Xenopus tropicalis: one gene and its partners. The protein of the gene in region 5 interacts with the protein of the main gene of each other region in a pairwise test. Links are inferred from orthologs where the notes say so. Each region holds a gene or a part of one and is shown on either strand. Other genes may lie near its edges. The genes, in order: atf2, topors, zcchc7, sall1 and sumo1.

Region 1 (4,202 bases), about 12 Mb from region 5:
ACAACGGCCTTTGAAGTGGGAGACCCAGGCTGGAGTTTGTGTAATAGATGCTGCCAAGCACTTTCTAACACAACCCAAAGTAAATTTTAAAGGAATACTGATTTTTATGGTATAGTTTTAGATCTAAATTACACTGTTTACATAGCAAATAAAATTGTATTCTTGAACCAACAAATGTATTTTTTGGTTGTAATATTGGTGTGTAGGCGCCATCTCAGTGCATTGTACCCGAGTCTGAGCTTTCAGCCAGCGCTACACATTAGAACTGCTTTCAGCTAACCTATTGTTTCTCCTACTCCCATGTAACTGGAGGAGTCCCAAGCCGGACTTGGATTTCTTACTATTGAGTGCTATTCTGATACCTACTGGGAGCTGCTATCTTGCTCCCTTCCCACTGTTCTGCTGGCTGCTGGGAGTGAGGGGGGATATCACTCCAACTTGCAGCGCAGCAGTAAAGTGTGCCTGAGTCTGAGCTTTCACAAGGAGCCAGCGCTACACATTAGGACTGCTTTCAGGTAACCTATTGTTTCTCCTACTCCCATGTAACTGGGGGAATCCCAAGCCGCACTTGGATTTCTTACTATTGCGTACTATTCTGATATATACTGGGAGCTGCTATCTTGATGCTTTCACATTGTTCTGCTAATTAGCTGCTGGGAGGGGGGTGATATCACTTCAACTTGCAGTAGCGGCTGCATTTCCCTCGGCTTATACTCGAGTCAATAAATTTTTCCAGTTTTCTTAGGTAAAATTAGGTACCTCGGCTTATATTCGGATCGGCTTATACTCGAGTATATACAGTATCTTTTTGAGCACTCTCCTTTTCATATCCAAGTCTCTCATTCAAACCACTGCCTGGTTATTAGGGCAAATTGGATTCTACCAACCAGATAGCTGCTGAAATTCCAAATTAAAGTAGTGATGGAAAAAACTGAAGACCAATTTCAGATTGCCTCAGTATATTCCTGTCTACATGAAAGAGTTTAACAGTGAACTAACCCTATATAAAGTAGACCAGTATGCTGTCAAATATGTACTGAAAAGACCTTTCTAAAAATGTTTAAATTATGTGGGATGTTACAAAACCAGATTCTCAAAGTCAGATGGGTTCTTGTTTTCATGTATCTGCATATGTCAGTGTATTTCAATGAGAAAAAGTCTGTCCGACTACTTGTCAGATAAAAGCTCAGCATTTCCACTTTTATACCAGCTGCACCACTGACAGACCCGCACAACTACATAAGACTTATAAGATGTGATTGTTTGCAATCACCATATCCAACAAAATCTCTCTATGTAGTTCAGCCCTAATAGTCACAGCAATACGTGCATACAAACACAGCAATCCATGTTATAATCACTTTGAAAGACGCAAGTTATTATTCTTTCTTTTCTTTATATTCCTTTCCCCGACCCAGTGATACCTTATAGCAGTGGTTCACATACTATGGAACCCGGCCTTTCTGGGGGGGGCTTGAGGCAGTAGTGAGGGTGGCTCAGTTTGAAGGTCAGTTAGGGTGAGAATTGGGGTGAATTACCATTTGCTCCCCTAAATATGACTGAAAGCTTGACAGTTCCCATTCTTATCTTATATAAGATTGTTTCAGATTCAATCCCCCCCCAAACACTACTCCTGCTCATTAAAGCATTTCCCAACCAACAAGAACAACAGTAAAGGGGCACAAGGTGATTTAAGATACGATACCCCTTGTTGTGTTTTTATTTCATAGCCCAAAAACACAGAACCAAAATACACCTACCACTAGCACCATTCAAGTCAATGGCAGGCAGCATGGCCAGGAATCCAAACAAGTTAAATCTCGTTTTACTATTTCTGTTTATGGCTAGCTATACAGAAATTTCCAACACAAATCTCCCGAAATTCGGCTGAAACTGTATGCGATTTTCATTTAACTCAATCACATTTGATTATTACAGGGAAAACATGTTTCATTGTAAAACTGTATCCAATCGGTCACATGAAAATCGAGTCAAGATATCCATGCAAGCTCTTACAAAAGGAATGAAGTGGCTAATGATACAACAAACAGGATTAGAGCAAAGGTGCAGAATGCTGCACCCACTAGGAGCCCATAGGAACCTCTCAGGAATGTACTGTAGTGCAAGGATGCCATTAGGTGAAGGCCAGTCTCCATGACATTGCACCCAAGGGCTTATATTAGGATACTTGGGCAGTCATGCACCCCACACATTGTGGAACTACAACTTACACCACCCCCAGAAATCTTGGTAGGATTCTTTCTATAGGTGAGGGATTTGTTGTGTTTAAGATCTCCTGAGGTGGTGTTGTTTTGTGGTTTACAGACAGGGCCCCCATGGGGGGGGGGGGCAGTCCCAGACCCAGTGGGTTTGGGAATTAAGGGGGGTTGGCAGTGCTGCTCTTACTTGGATTATCGGACCCTTGCTGTCAGTGAGCCGCAGACTTCGGAAGAGCCACAATGGCTTTACAGGGACTTGAACCTCTGTGACAAAACAAGCAGCAGCAGCGTAAATAACATCCAGGCACCATAGCTCCCGCCCTCCCTTTCCAAGTCTGCAGCTCACTGACAGCAGGGGGGCCCGGGAATCCATGTAAGTGCATTCTGCCCAACAGTCCAGCCTTTCCTAACACAGCCCGCAGTCCCACAACGCTACTTACACCTCCCGATAAGCTGTCAAGTGCAGGCTCCCAGCAGCTTCCCAGTCCCACAGAAAAGCCCAACACCGCGTCTCCTCACGCGAGACTGGCGTCACGACTCTACGCAAGCGCAGTGACGCATTACGCAGCCGCTTGTGGGAGGGATGAGTGGGCGTAACTGAGTTGTACGCAGTCGGTGGCTGCTAGGAAGTCGTGTTAGGTCAACTCTCAATCTGGTTTTTTTCTGATCGCACTGCCTTCCTTTGTTAACGAACGAATAAAAAAATACTTAAATAAAAACACTTTTTTTTTCTTGTTGGTTGACTGATATTCCCTTCACCACTTCAGCTCCTAATATAAAAAGTCATTTCTATTCCCGGATCAAAGTTCAGACTTGTGCCAGCAAACATAAAATTACGTTTCCTGGTTGCAGCAGTACCTGACACCCTTAGAGCCTCATATCGCAGTCTGACTAAAAGGGAAAGGGGTTTTGTTCAAACCAGGGTCAAGTGAAATTGCCATCATTTTAGTGTTTTTTTGTTTATTGAAGATTCTGTCACAGTATTAATTTCACACACAGATTTGTGTTATGGTGACATAAACACTGTAAAAGGTCACTTGTTTAAGTCTGAATGGACATGGAGTGACTCCTTAATGTTTAGTAAAGAGACAGTGGCAACATTTTTTTGATAAAGACAGGGATAAAAATGACAAATATCAGGATGCTTGCATAGTTCACACAGCAAGGGAATATATATGGTATATATGTATATGATTTAAAGGTAAGAGCAATATGCATTTGGAACACAGTGAGACAACTGGTGCACTGATTTAAGGCTGTGAGAGGCAAGCAGCTCTGGTCCACAGCTCTATGTGCAGGAGGAAGATGCTGCTGCCTTGGTAACCAGACCAGCCCAGGAAAGGCTCAGGATTGGTTAGGTGGCTTCCCTTGCTGGTCATTAAGCACCAGCAAGAACCCAGTTTCCCATACTTATTCAGTCTGCCCTAATTCAGCACCATGTTACAGGGGAAAGACAGGCAGAGTGGTCACTGACATTGGTATTTTGCCTGTCTTCCACACTCAGTCCCACAGTGGCAACCAGGGCCATGGGGCTCTCAGAGCTTCAAGCTTCCAGTGTTTACAAACATACCACCTAGAAGGGCTGAACCCTGCTCAGGGCTAAGTAGGTGTAGGTATAGGTGCTTTCTGTTGCGTTCAGGCGAAGCTTGTCCTGGAATGCTTTTCTGTCAATCAAATCTTAAAGTTTATGTTGTACTGACAGCATGATCCACCTTAGTTGGCAAAATGTTATCTGTTGTTCAGTAACAGTAGTTAGTCAGGGCTGCAGAAATTTTATGGCAGAGCTCTATGTGAAACCCAAACACTTTGAACTAGAAGTCAAAGGACATGTGAATGGAGGACTCTGTAAAACGTGTTCCTATATAGGCTGCTGACCATTACTTCAACTCCACAGCTAAGGCAGAGTTACACATGAAATGCTGCAAAGAATCTAGAATATCCTATGATATAAATAACTCCCCTCCTTCCTGAGAGTGCCTTTAG
Region 2 (2,197 bases), on a different chromosome or scaffold from region 5:
CAAACAAGAAGCGGTCTCCTGTCCAACAGTCTTAACAGGAAACTGGTGCTATGTTACATTGTTTAAGAGATCAAAGTCAAATATACTCTCAGCAAAGCTTTTATGAAGTTCAGATATTTCTGAAGTTGATGTAGGTGGTACATTGTCCAGTATAGGATCAGACTCTGGCAAGGAACTCTCAGCTGCTAAAGGTTCTACTTCACAGAGATCCGGTATGTTAGGAGGACTTTGTACAGGGAGCAGATTCTGTTCATCAGAGCTATCATCAAAATGTAAACCATCCAGTATTCCAGTGGCAGCATCTAAGTGCCTGTTACTTGAACATAAATCAGAGGCTTTGGAATCAGAGTCTGCCCTTTCTCCACTTAGTACTTCTGTGGTACTTACTGTGGTCGAGGTAGGTGGCGACTGGCTGTGCATGAAGTTAGTTGAGTCAATACTAGTTTTGTTTTCAGGTACCAGGGAGCTGTGGTCATTGCATGGGAGATCCTCCACCATTGGGGTGTCACTGTCACTGTCAATGGTGATAATGATGGGAGAAGCAGCTGGAGAATTAGTGTGTTCCCTGCGTCGTTTTTTCTTGTGCTTCTTTTTCTTCTTCTTTTTGTGGTGCTTTGCCCCTTCAACTGCTTTGCCCTCATATACTATTTCCACACTTGGGCTTCTTGCCTTTTTTCTTAACTTCTGCTTAGGTTCAGAGGATGAACCCATTAAATCATTTTTGAGACTACCAGTATGATTGCCAAGAGAAGTCTTGCCTGCTTGCAGACCTCCCTCTTTTTCTTTGGCAGAAGGAACTTCTCGATTGTTCCCTTCCCTTTCCTGCTTTTCCAAATGGTGTGTTTTGTATTTTCTTTTTCCACTTGGTTTGTCAGATCTGGTATGCTCAGTCCCTGATGTATTCATCTGACTGCTTGAGCGACTCCTTGACCTGTATCGCTCACGGCGATATTGTTTACTAGCAATGTATCCCCTCTCCTTTCTTGTATCTTTCTTTTCAGAGTAAGACTGAATTTTATATTCTGGGCTAGCAGAGGGTCTTGAATAACGTCCTCGACCACAAGTCCGTCTCCTGTAGGACTGTTCATAGCCATCTCTATCCCGATTTCGACTGTAATAGGTATATTCCCATTGATAAGAACTGCGATAGTTGTTGGAAGAAAAATCATTGTCACTATCATGACTTCGTGACCTACCCCTACTTCGATTTCGGCTTCTAGAGCTTGACTCGCATCTCTCTCTGGAGCTTTCACTAGTTAGTGACACAGTCCTACTCCTCCAAGACAGACTTCGATCCCTACTACTAGATTTCTTCCTTCCTTTCCTACTTTTATGCCTGCTCTTTTCAGGACTCCTGGGTTTCAAATTATTTTTGCTGCAATGCCTCCTTCGACTGTTGTGGCTTTTATTGCGAGAAGAACGAGAATAACAATCAGAACTCCTTGACCTATCCCTCCATCTGGACAAAGCATAATTACTGTTCAAATCCCCCTTATCCTTTCTAGAAGTTAAATCAAGTCGACATTTTCCCTTCTCTTTTTTCCTGGAATGGGAATGTTTGCTAGATGTGGTTTTTCCCTTGGTTTTGCGTGAACGTTTTTCTTTTGCAGGTGTGTACAAAGATGATGATGACCTGCTCAATTCACTACTGTCACTTAGGAAAAATGGTTTAATCGTAGGCTTTTTGGCATCTTCTGTCTTAACCTCACTCAATGAGCTCTCGGAGTCGGATGACAATTCAACTAATTCTGGAGTTCTTTCTGCCAGTGGTTTAACATACCCTACTATAACACAGTCATCAGTTGGAAAGGACTGATCCTGCAGGTTTTCTGTGGGTTCACTGTTGGAAACTTCTTGTGAAGTCTGTCTTATGCTGGGTGGCTCATCGTCTGAGCTTTCTGAGATATCTAGTGTAGTGGATACAGCAACTGAGGCTTGCTCAAGTGTGGAATAAGAGGGACCAGGGGTCTCATCATCCCAAGCTGTCTGGCCAACACCAGGACCAGCAGAAGGAATAATTGGATCTCTGGTATCTGCTTCATCTGGCGATATTGTGATGACAGATGACTCTGAACGGCTTCCTTCCTCATATGAAGGAGCAGGACAATCATAGTTTGCATGCTGATCATATGCTTCAATATTGTAAGGGCATCGGGCAAAGTTAACAAACTCATGTATGAAATGGTCTGTGCGGTGA
Region 3 (2,484 bases), on a different chromosome or scaffold from region 5:
AAAAAGAAACGTCCTAGTAAAAAAAAGAAGCAGGGTACCCTCATGGATGAAGAATGTGCAGAGACAAAGCAAACGAAGAAGCGTAAGAAAAAAAGATCTGGCCTTCAAGAAACAGAGGAGGATTTCCCCCGTGGACGCCCCAATGATTACTTAAAGTATAAAAAATCTTCAAAGAAGCATGATGGCAGCAACCTGTTCAAGGAAGACAAGAAAAATTTGCTTAAAAAAGGCTGGAGGAAGAAACATAAGGGCAAAAAGGGAGACAGTTGTGCTGTTGACCAGGACTTGCTCATAATTAAACAGAAGAAAAAGAATTCAAAGAAAAGGGTTGACTAGTCACAAAGCAGCACTGCATGAACAGATGTAATTGGATATTATAATACCTTCCATATACTGGAACCATAATCTGCAGGAACACAACATATTGTGGAGATCCCTGTTTCTCCAGATCTAAGTTAATATCACATATAACAAGCCTTTGAGCTGATAATTTAAAGAAACTATATAAATTTTTTATTAATGTATTTTATATATGGGTATGGATTCTTAATATTGTACTACGAGCAACCACCTTATAATAAGGGACTCAGTGTTTTACAGTGTATATGCTGCTTCTCTATTCATTCACAAATACACACATAACATACATTGTTTTACAACTCATTGTACGGGTTTGGTTTCAGTAGCAAGGAAGAATTTCTTTTCTTTTCTTGCCAAACTTCACCTAATCACAGTTTTGCTTTAGATGTGCTTATAAGGTGGTTTCAGTAGAGTGGCAAATACGGCTAAGCTGCTGAAAACTGTACAGTATCTGTACATTCAAATACATCCGGTTCTGATAGGAACATTTTTCAGTGTGTATCAGTGAGCTCTTTTGAAGGATCAATTCATCTGTCCCTTTAAAAGAGAATGGTATAATTGGGAAACATTTATATGGTCCCAGGAAAATTTGTTCAGTATTTTTATATACCGTATGTACTGTAACCTTATGTACTTTAGAACGTTTAAAACAAATACTTATTTTAGCAGTTAGATTTAGGGATACAAGTGCCAAGGGGGCCAAGTTCTGTGTATTCCTATATTCTTAGATTCATCATGACCTGTTTCTTTACATACTATGCTTTAGAAAGGTGCAGATAGTTGTTGGTTTTGCATACATTTACCTAGGTCTAGCTTTTTGAGGTTAAAAATCATCTTTGGTTCTTAAAGGGAAATTTAAAGAATAAGTAAATGAACTTAAAAGAATACGTAAGCCTTTTTTTAATCTCTAAAATTGCTCTGAATAGTGCCCTGAATAACATCTTTTCTCCCTGCATTCAGTTTCATGTCATTTCTAAATTACAAGTTGAAAATTGCAGCTCATTTCAGCTACTTCCTGGTCTACAATGAAGCTCTGCCCCCTTTTCTTTTCTGAGCTCTCCTTGTCTCTTTGAGCATGATGGTTAGATAGGTGCCTACTGTGCGTGCCTGATTGCTTTTTATTGAAGCAGAGGCAGCAAGCATGCACGGCAGACACCGTTTTGACTGTTTACAGTCAGACAGAGCAGGAAAGCTCAGAGAAGCAAAGGGGCGGAGCTTCACAATAGACTAGGAAGTAGCTAAGAGAGCTGAAGTTGAGCTGTTAGTGATACAAAATCTGCTGGGAGAAAAGGTATGTTCTTCTGGGAGCTTTTGTGAGTATTTTGGGGGATTTTAAAGTCAAAAGGCTTGCGTAACCTTTAAGTACACCCCAAATAAGTATGCAGATTTTTTATTGGTTTTCTGTGTTGTTTTCATCCTGCAGATACTTGTCTTCAAAACACCTCCTTACATTGTTTGTGCCATTGAAATAATACAAATTGTATTGCAGATGTTAAACATTTGAGTCTTGAGGAGATTATTAGTCCCTAACACTTAAAATGGCCACACATTATATTTCATGTTGATATTAAAGCAATGCAATTAATTGTATCTCAAGAAATAAATAAAATCTTCCATGTGCAACTCTTTAGAAAGTTTGTGTAAAGTGAGCAAGGTGGATTGTCCAGTCACTTACTGAATAAAGAATCACTGTACAGGTATGGGACTTGGGGTTTTCCTGATAACTGGTTATTCAGTCATTTGGATCTTCATACCTTGTCTAATCATATAAACATTAATTGAACCCAGTAGGATTATTTTACCTCCAATAAGAATTAATTATATATTAGTTGGGATTAAGTATACAATGGAGTCTATGGGAGATGGCCTTCCTATAATTCATAACTTTCTGGATAATGGGTTTCCAGATCCCATACTAGTACTAAGTTCTAAAGGTTATTTATTCATAATCTAGATCAGTGCTGTCCAACTGAATTAATTAAAGGGTTTTTCTGTTAAATGAATGCCATATAAAGTGTTTAATACAGCCCTTAGCTGGAGTTTTTTGGGTTCAAGTCCAGCCCACAGTCCACTTGGACAGATATGTTCTAGATCAGTGCTGTAGTATCAAGGGCCAGAATTTTT
Region 4 (3,523 bases), on a different chromosome or scaffold from region 5:
TGTCCAAGGCACTCTGACATGCAAAGGTTTTGCCACAAATATCACATATAGTGTTTTTATATTTACCCCGTTCTCGGAAAGGAAATAGCACACCTAAATGTTCATCTTTGATCACTTTATCTGTGTTGCTAGATGTCAAGTCCAAAGCCCCTCCATTAGCAGGTGTAGGGGACAGTCCACTGGTTGGGTCAAGAGACAGAGCTCGATGAATCTTCTCATCTGTGTTGGGTGATTTCAGATAGTCATTTGTGCTATTGGAAGGAGACAAAGCATGCATGGAGTAAGTCGATTCAGAGGCAGCAGGGCTTCCAGCACTTTGGCTTTCCATGTCACCACCAAGAGATGAGGAGTCATTGGTCATACCATCACCCTCAATAGACCCATTTTCAGTTGACTTTAGACTGGCTTGGAGCTGTTCAGCAAGTCCAGCATTAATTAATTTCATTTGATTCTCTAAAGCAGTGATACTTGAAACTTCAGGCGGCAGTGGGGAAGAAGAAAGGCTGTCTTGAGATGCATCAACAGATTTAGGGGTGTCTGGGACACTGCTGTCTGGACAATCTTCCATGTTTTCATCTGAGAAATTGTCTAGATCATCAATAGTTTTCTCATCAAAGGACCCAGTATCTGATTCCATGGAGTCAGGATAGCTTTCAGCAATAGGAGTATTAGGAATCTGCCCTCCCATATGCATCCTAATATGCTGTTGAAGTACAACAGCATTTGTAAATTTCTTTTGACAAATTGGGCATGAATGCTGAACTCTAAGAGGTGGCATGGCACGATGGACACTGTAATGAGTCTTTAAGTTACCTTTAGTTGTAAAAGCACGACCACAAATTTTGCATTTAAATGGTCGTTCTCCAGTATGTGTCCTATAATGCATTTTTAGAGCACTCTGGCAACTCAGGACTCTGCGACAAATAACACACTCATTTGGGTCACTTGACTTTTTGTCAATATTCTCTACAAGCTGTTGAAGTTTTGAAGTCTCTGATGCAGGTGCCACGTCCAAAAGTCCTCCAAATGGAAATTTTGCTTTAAATTGCTCTGACATTAGAGGCAAAAGTGGATTTGGAAATGAGGCCGAGATGCCAGAGCCAGTTGTGGGAGAGCAGGCAGAAGTATTAAGATTTTGGATGCAATCTGAATTTTGAGACTGCTGTTCCTCCTTGTCTAGAATGGGCATCGCAGCCTCAGCCTCATCTGGAAGATCACTAGTTTTTTTTAAAAGTGGCTCTGTAGCGGTCTCACTTTTTACTGAATCAGGTGGGCTGGCAGTGGGATGACTAATAGCTATAGGTTGTGGCTCTTCAGTTTTTATAAATGAAGTCAAGGTGGGAATTGTTGGTGGGAGAGGCATACCCACTGATGTTGTTAAGGTAGGTAAAACTGGTTTAGTGTCCAGCCAGTTTGTTACAGGTTTTTCTGGTGGGATAGACATCCCATATGGAATACCGGTGCTTGTAGGAATATTGTCTAAATGTTCCGGCACTGGATATGGATTCATCTGAATATGGGGATATTTCTCTTTGTGACGCTGAAAATGAACTTTAAGATTCCCTTTGGTGGAAAACCTGTTTCCACAAATGTTGCATTTAAATGGTCTCTCGCCGGTGTGAGAACGTAGATGGATCTGCAAGGCACTGTCACTGCCAAAAACCTTAGCACAGAATCTACACTTGTGTTTAAAGAATGCCTCATCAGATGTACTCTTAGTTTCAAAAGCAGTCACGCTGGGTGGCTTACTTTTCCTCAGTGAGTTTAAATCCTCTGCTGTTGTTCCTATGCTGGGCAATGTGCCAGGGAAAGGTGTGGTGTTAGGGGCAGGCTGAGGTAGTAGTGGATTGGATGCAGGACTTAATAAACTACTTATTGCAAAAGCTGGTGATGACGTTACAGGTGCTGGTGGGTTACTGACCTGTGAGCCACCGGTGCTTGAAGGTACTTTGTCTGAGGAGGGTGAAGTAACTGTGGATGCCAATGCATTCATATTTGGAGAGGAACTACTGATGGATGGAACTGTGTTAACAGGATTGCTCTGAGGTAGCTGTATGGGTGGTAGTTGCTTCATACCACTGATGCTCGCGGATTGGCTAGCAAGACTTTGTGCTAAGCCAGCTGCTGCAGCCAGCTGCTGGGACAAATGGGAACTCAGAGTAGTCAGTGGAGTGGCAGATACTCTTAAAGCCCCTTGAGGGCCACTAGCTGAAGTGGGCATGTCTGCACTCTGTGATGCCAACAGTAATATTTGGTGACGGATTTGTTCAATCAGATGCAACTGGTGAATCTGTTGTTGCTGTAAAGCCAAGAGCTGTTCCATGAGTGCAGGCACTGCCAGCTTATTGTTTGCTGCCCCCTTAGTTTTGGCTTCTTGGGAGAATTGTGCCACTGCCACTCTAGTGCTCTGAAGGTTCTCAATGATGACATTGCTGTTGATCATAGAGAAGTTGCCCAAGGCTGTCAGATCCCTTACTTGAGGTAGCGAAGTTGTGATAGCTGAGGTACCCAATGTGGGATTATTACTGCTTGAATCACCATTGTCCACTTTGTTAGAACCACTGCTGCTATTGTTAGTTTCCGAAAACTCCACCTCCATGGATTCTTCTTTGTCAGGCTTGCCGTGCTCACCATGCTCTGAAAGGTCACTGCAGTCTGCTTGATCTGAGTTATTAACTGTGTCATTCATGTGCTCATCAGGATTATCCGAGGGGGGAATAGGAGAGCTGGCTTCAGCGGGAGGTGGTGGATTTTCATTCACAATTAGAACCAATTGATTTTTAGTGCAGTTCTTCTTGTGCTGCAACAAATCTGATAGTTCAAAGAACTCTGCACAACATCTGCTACAGACATGCGCCTCCTTGTTCTTGGGCGTCCGATGGATTTGACCCCTCTCTGTGTTTCCTATAGGGGCGAGAAATTCAGACATACATTACATTTATTTTTATAACCAAACTTATTTTTCTATCTTTCTGCAGCTGCTGTCATTCATATAAAATGCAACTGAAGAAACGACACACAAAAAATAAATAAATAGAAAACATTGAGATCAGGTCAATTTTTTAGTAATAATTTAATCTAAAAAATTAGCGAGGAAACCATCAGTGCTGGTGTCTAACAATAATCATTTCCATTAGATGATCCATCAAAATATAAAATACTATGAACAGCAGACATTTGGCAATAATGAAATTCCATAGAAAATATTGATTTCCAATATTTCATGCTCCTTATTGTCTAGTTGCCCGCTAGGCGCAAATCAACAATTTAAAGCACTCATTAAACGTTCCAGTTCTTGTCATCCTTGTTCATTTTCAGTAGCCTCCAATATACTTGACAGCTTGCCCTGTCTACTTGGGAATCATTTAGATACCAATCAACCTATGCTGACACAACTAAAGAAAACTATACCAATCACACTAACTTAAACTGATCAAACTATATAAAAAAAGGTTTGAAAGGGAAAAAAACATGTGCACGATATACAAAGTTTAACTGACAACTAGCCTAGTGAAAGGAAAAT
Region 5 (4,059 bases):
TGACAGAGAGATGCTGCTTCTCTAGGGAAGGTCTTTGTGGCCTTTCACAAACTCGGCCTAGCTGCCAATTGATTTACATCCTACAATGAAAACTGATGAGACACCAGGGTACCTATACATCTGCATGTGCAATTTTAACTGCAATCGCCTAGTTTTTTCCACAATGCAATATTTTTCCCAGAATTCCAGCATCTTTGCAGTTGCAAGAGTCAATGTGCTTGGTGCAATTGTGTTGTGCCTTAGTTCACAAGACAGGAAGGACTGAGCTGTGCCAAGCACACCTACATTAAAGTTTAAAGGAGAAGGAAAGGCTAATAAAGAGTTAATCCCAAACTGCAGGCATACCTTCAGTTGACTCAATAGTGCCCTTAAGTCTCCCCATACTTCACCTGTTCAGAAGATCAGAAGCCAAACAGGAAAAAAAAACGCTGAGCAGGGTAGAGAAGATTCCCATAATGCAACGCTCCTGCCCAGACTTGGCAACTTGGGACTGTAGGCAGCGCATGCGCACACAGCAGGAGCGTCTGGTTGCCATGGCGACGCAGCCGACAGGAGAACTCTGCTCTGTGACATTCAGACCTGGCAGGTGGGGGGAGCGGCAGAGGGTTTGTGGCAGGAGCGGGGAGCCGGGGGAGTTGATATGCAGTGATGCATCTGCATTTGTGACATGCAGAGCCGGCAGGTGGGAGGAGCGGCGGGGGGTTTGTGGCAGGAGTGGGAAGCGGCGGAGGGTTTGTGACAGGAGCAGGGGGGGGGGGGTTGTGGCAGGAGCGGGGGGGGGTTGTGGCAGGAGCAGGGGGGGGTTGTGGCAGGAGCAGGGGGGGGTTGTGGCAGGAGCAGGGGGGGGTTGTGGCAGGAGCGGGGGGGGTTGTGGCAGGAGCGGGGGGGGGTTGTGGCAGAAGCGGGGGGGGGGTTGTGGCAGAAGCGGGGGGGGGTTGTGGCAGAAGCGGGGAGCGGTGGAGGGTTTGTGGCAGGTGAGGGGATCGGAGGGGGGCTGGCTTGTGCTTTTCAGCAATAGCCCATACAGACATGCTGGACAAGATGGCGGCGCCGTTCACTGAAACAAGTATGTAAGTTCTAGTATGTGTATCTCTGTAAATATTTCATTGGGCAAGCCAGAAATATAGCGTTTTTACACAGCAATAGTAGTACTATTTAATAGTGTGCTTAATAGATTTCGACTTTCCTTGTCCTTTAAGAAGCGCATTTTCACTTACGTACCTCAAATGAAAGTGGTTTTACACACAACTAACTGCGCGGAAGTTAGAGACTGAAATTACACTTGCAGAGATAATTTAGGAGCCCTACTAACTCTTCTGCACATCTTGGAAAAGCACCCAGCAGTGAATGGAATTGCTCAATGGTGCTAGCAAAGTATTTAAATTTTTTTTCAGTAAAGCTGTACAAAAAGCAACTTTTCAGACACTATTTTAGAGGTGTATGATGAAATGGGAATACTTGTTCACACATACCCACAGACTGAGATACAAAATAACAGAGTGATATACATTTGACACAAATGCATGTACGCAATGTTGCCCTAAATGTAAGGCAATAAATACCAATAATGGGAAAAACAGCTTTCAACAGAAACATCTGCGTGCATCACTGGTATTTAATCCGTCGCACCATTGAAAGTGCACTTAATTGGGCCAGACAGAAATTTGGGGCTCCCAGTGGTCCCCATGCCCACATGAATGCGGCATCAGCAAAGTTTGAAGTGACAGGACTAGCTGGTACTGCCCAACATCACAGGGATCTAATCATTTTGGCCTGTAGTCCACTTGAATGTTTAAACCGTCACCCTTTAGGTGGCTGCATTAAAGATAAGATTGGGATCCTAAACTATGAAAGTCATGCAAGAAAACAAGATGTGCTTGAACATTACATACAATATAAACAAGCAGAGTGTACTACAAGAGATCAATCGTTAACTCCCACATACCTACACACAGCTTAACATGATACCTCCCCTGGGTAATGGGAATTACCACTACAATTAAATTAACATGTGTATACGTGTGCAGCGGTGTTTGTTTGGAAGGGTTAAACGCGATTGTTATATTTTCAACCAAACATAATAATGTATCTACAAACACTTAGTGGATGCTCATAAATAGACTTAATTTATGTACCTGATAGTTCTGAAATGCTTTGAGCTCTTCCAGGCTAACAGATTTACCCTACTGTAACAAATCAATGCTGTGTGAGACCCCATAAGGCTAAAGCTGCTGAAACTTGTTAGGTTAATATATACTTTATATAGGTCAAATAACTATATGGGCCAATATATCTCTGGCTTTCCTGTTAGGCCTCTCACTTCGCCAACCACCACTGGGCAATTACTCACAGATAATAACATCTACAGGAGAAGATACACATACTGGACAATAAGACATAAAGCAAATTACACGACACACAACGGGGTGTGGGTCCTATAGAGCAGTTTATCCAGCAAAAGTGCACAGCAGCAGAAACCCATAGCAACCAGCTCTAATAGTCTAAGTGTCGTATAAAATGAAAGTAAATGACTTAGCTGCCGCCCTTGGTTATGGGCCGCATGTACTACTTTAGCTGCATATTAATGTGTAGCCATGAGACCTACTTGTTTACATCTACAAGCAGGTCTCCAGACACACAAAACAAGACACACACGTCCCAGAGACTTTCTCTCGTTCTCCCGCCCACTCCACAAAAGTGTCTCACCTGATCAGACATGCTAACTGCTCTCGGCCGGTATCGGTTCGCTACACTGGACCGCTCTACGCTTTTCCTTCCTCCGGGCACAATAACAGCACAAGAGAACCAGACAAGGAAGGTGTTCCGGTTCTTGGGAATGACCTCATTTCCGATACATGCGGCACCGCCCACATTTTGCTGACGCGCACTGCTGCGGCTTGCGGCAAATGGTAGGGGTATGCGCTTGCACAGACGCTGAGCACTAGGTGGCGCTTTTGTGTCCATATTGTAATGCGAACGTCAGCCTTTAACCATTGATATCCAGTGTTTTTTCTGTATAGAGCATTAACCTCTCCAAAGCCGAGCATTAATAGTAGGCGTCTAATGGCTTTGGCACTGCCAGCCTCACATCATTAAAAGGCCCCGTTACATAGTAGATTGGCTTTACCTGGCTTTACGTGGCTTTTGACGTTTTAGTAGGTGATTCTTAACCTTTTTGGTTGCGTCGCATGATTGAAATTGACCACAAATGTTTATATAAACTGGTTAAATGAATGAGCCAAATTACAGACAATTGCTTATATGAAAAAAAAATTGGTTATCTTATCTTGTCAATCTGATCCCTTGAGAGCCCCTGATGCCTCTATATTAGAGGACACATTGGGAAGAGACTAAATAACAGATACCGAGGCATAGGGTGGGTGGAGAATAGACATAATTATCAAAATTGTGTGAATAAACCTTACCCGCGCTTCTAATAAATTTATGTGTAGTTCGTGAAAGACTAATATTATTCTAAAAAACAAATTAAATTACCCAACAACAATCCTCTTACCCAAATAGTGAATAGAATATCATAAATAGCCTCCTTCCTCCAAACTAATCCTCACAGTGAATATATAAATATTATAACAAGGAGTTAGCGCTAAAAAAATATACCACCAAGTGTAAAAATTCTATAATATTTTAATTAATCATTAAATCAATACAAAAAGATACAAGTCATAAGTTAAAAGATACAATAGGATATAGTGATAATCAAAAACAGTTCGTTAAAACTAAATTGTTGGCCCTATTAGTTCATTAAAAAAGTGAACTAGGATAAATGAGGATGGTACAATAAATACGTTTAGCTTTTTAAATGACTATTTATGCACGTATTTATTGTACCATCCTCATTTATCCTAGTTCACTTTTTTAATGAACTAATAGGGCCAACATTTTAGTTTTAACGAACTGTTTTTGATTATCACTATATCCTATTGTATCTTTTAACTTATGACTTGTATCTTTTTGTATTGATTTAATGATTGATTAAAATATTATAGAATTTTTACACTTGGTGGTATATTTTTTTAGCGCTAACTCCTTGTTATAATA

What was found.
Region 1: the proteins of sumo1 (region 5) and atf2 interact in binary tests that used the Homo sapiens proteins (3 or more experiments, as listed by UniProt). The two-hybrid records come from large-scale screens. The link is inferred for Xenopus tropicalis from reciprocal best matches to the Homo sapiens genes SUMO1 and ATF2.
Region 2: the proteins of sumo1 (region 5) and topors interact in a two-hybrid assay, tested with the Homo sapiens proteins (2 studies listed by BioGRID). The link is inferred for Xenopus tropicalis from reciprocal best matches to the Homo sapiens genes SUMO1 and TOPORS.
Region 3: the proteins of sumo1 (region 5) and zcchc7 interact in binary tests that used the Homo sapiens proteins (3 or more experiments, as listed by UniProt). The link is inferred for Xenopus tropicalis from reciprocal best matches to the Homo sapiens genes SUMO1 and ZCCHC7.
Region 4: the proteins of sumo1 (region 5) and sall1 interact in a two-hybrid assay, tested with the Homo sapiens proteins (2 studies listed by BioGRID, with this or other methods). The link is inferred for Xenopus tropicalis from reciprocal best matches to the Homo sapiens genes SUMO1 and SALL1.

What each region holds. Positions count from the first base shown.
Region 1 is NC_030685.2:64,415,382-64,419,583, forward strand, and holds the start of atf2 (cyclic AMP-dependent transcription factor ATF-2), read right to left. Parts: upstream 2,817-4,202; 5' UTR 2,660-2,816; intron 1-2,659. UniProt on the Homo sapiens protein: Transcriptional activator which regulates the transcription of various genes, including those involved in anti-apoptosis, cell growth, and DNA damage response.
Region 2 is NC_030677.2:115,117,225-115,119,421, forward strand, and holds part of topors (E3 ubiquitin-protein ligase Topors), read right to left. Parts: coding exon 49-2,197; 3' UTR 1-48. UniProt on the Homo sapiens protein: Functions as an E3 ubiquitin-protein ligase and as an E3 SUMO1-protein ligase. Probable tumor suppressor involved in cell growth, cell proliferation and apoptosis that regulates p53/TP53 stability through ubiquitin-dependent degradation.
Region 3 is NC_030677.2:109,181,024-109,183,507, reverse strand, and holds the end of zcchc7 (zinc finger CCHC domain-containing protein 7), read left to right. Parts: coding exon 1-336; 3' UTR 337-1,983; downstream 1,984-2,484.
Region 4 is NC_030680.2:50,892,664-50,896,186, reverse strand, and holds part of sall1 (sal-like protein 1), read right to left. Parts: intron 2,905-3,523; coding exon 1-2,904. UniProt on the Homo sapiens protein: Transcriptional repressor involved in organogenesis. Plays an essential role in ureteric bud invasion during kidney development.
Region 5 is NC_030685.2:52,313,274-52,317,332, forward strand, and holds the start of sumo1 (small ubiquitin-related modifier 1 precursor), read right to left. Parts: upstream 2,823-4,059; 5' UTR 2,719-2,822; coding exon 2,707-2,718; intron 1-2,706. UniProt on the Homo sapiens protein: Ubiquitin-like protein that can be covalently attached to proteins as a monomer or a lysine-linked polymer.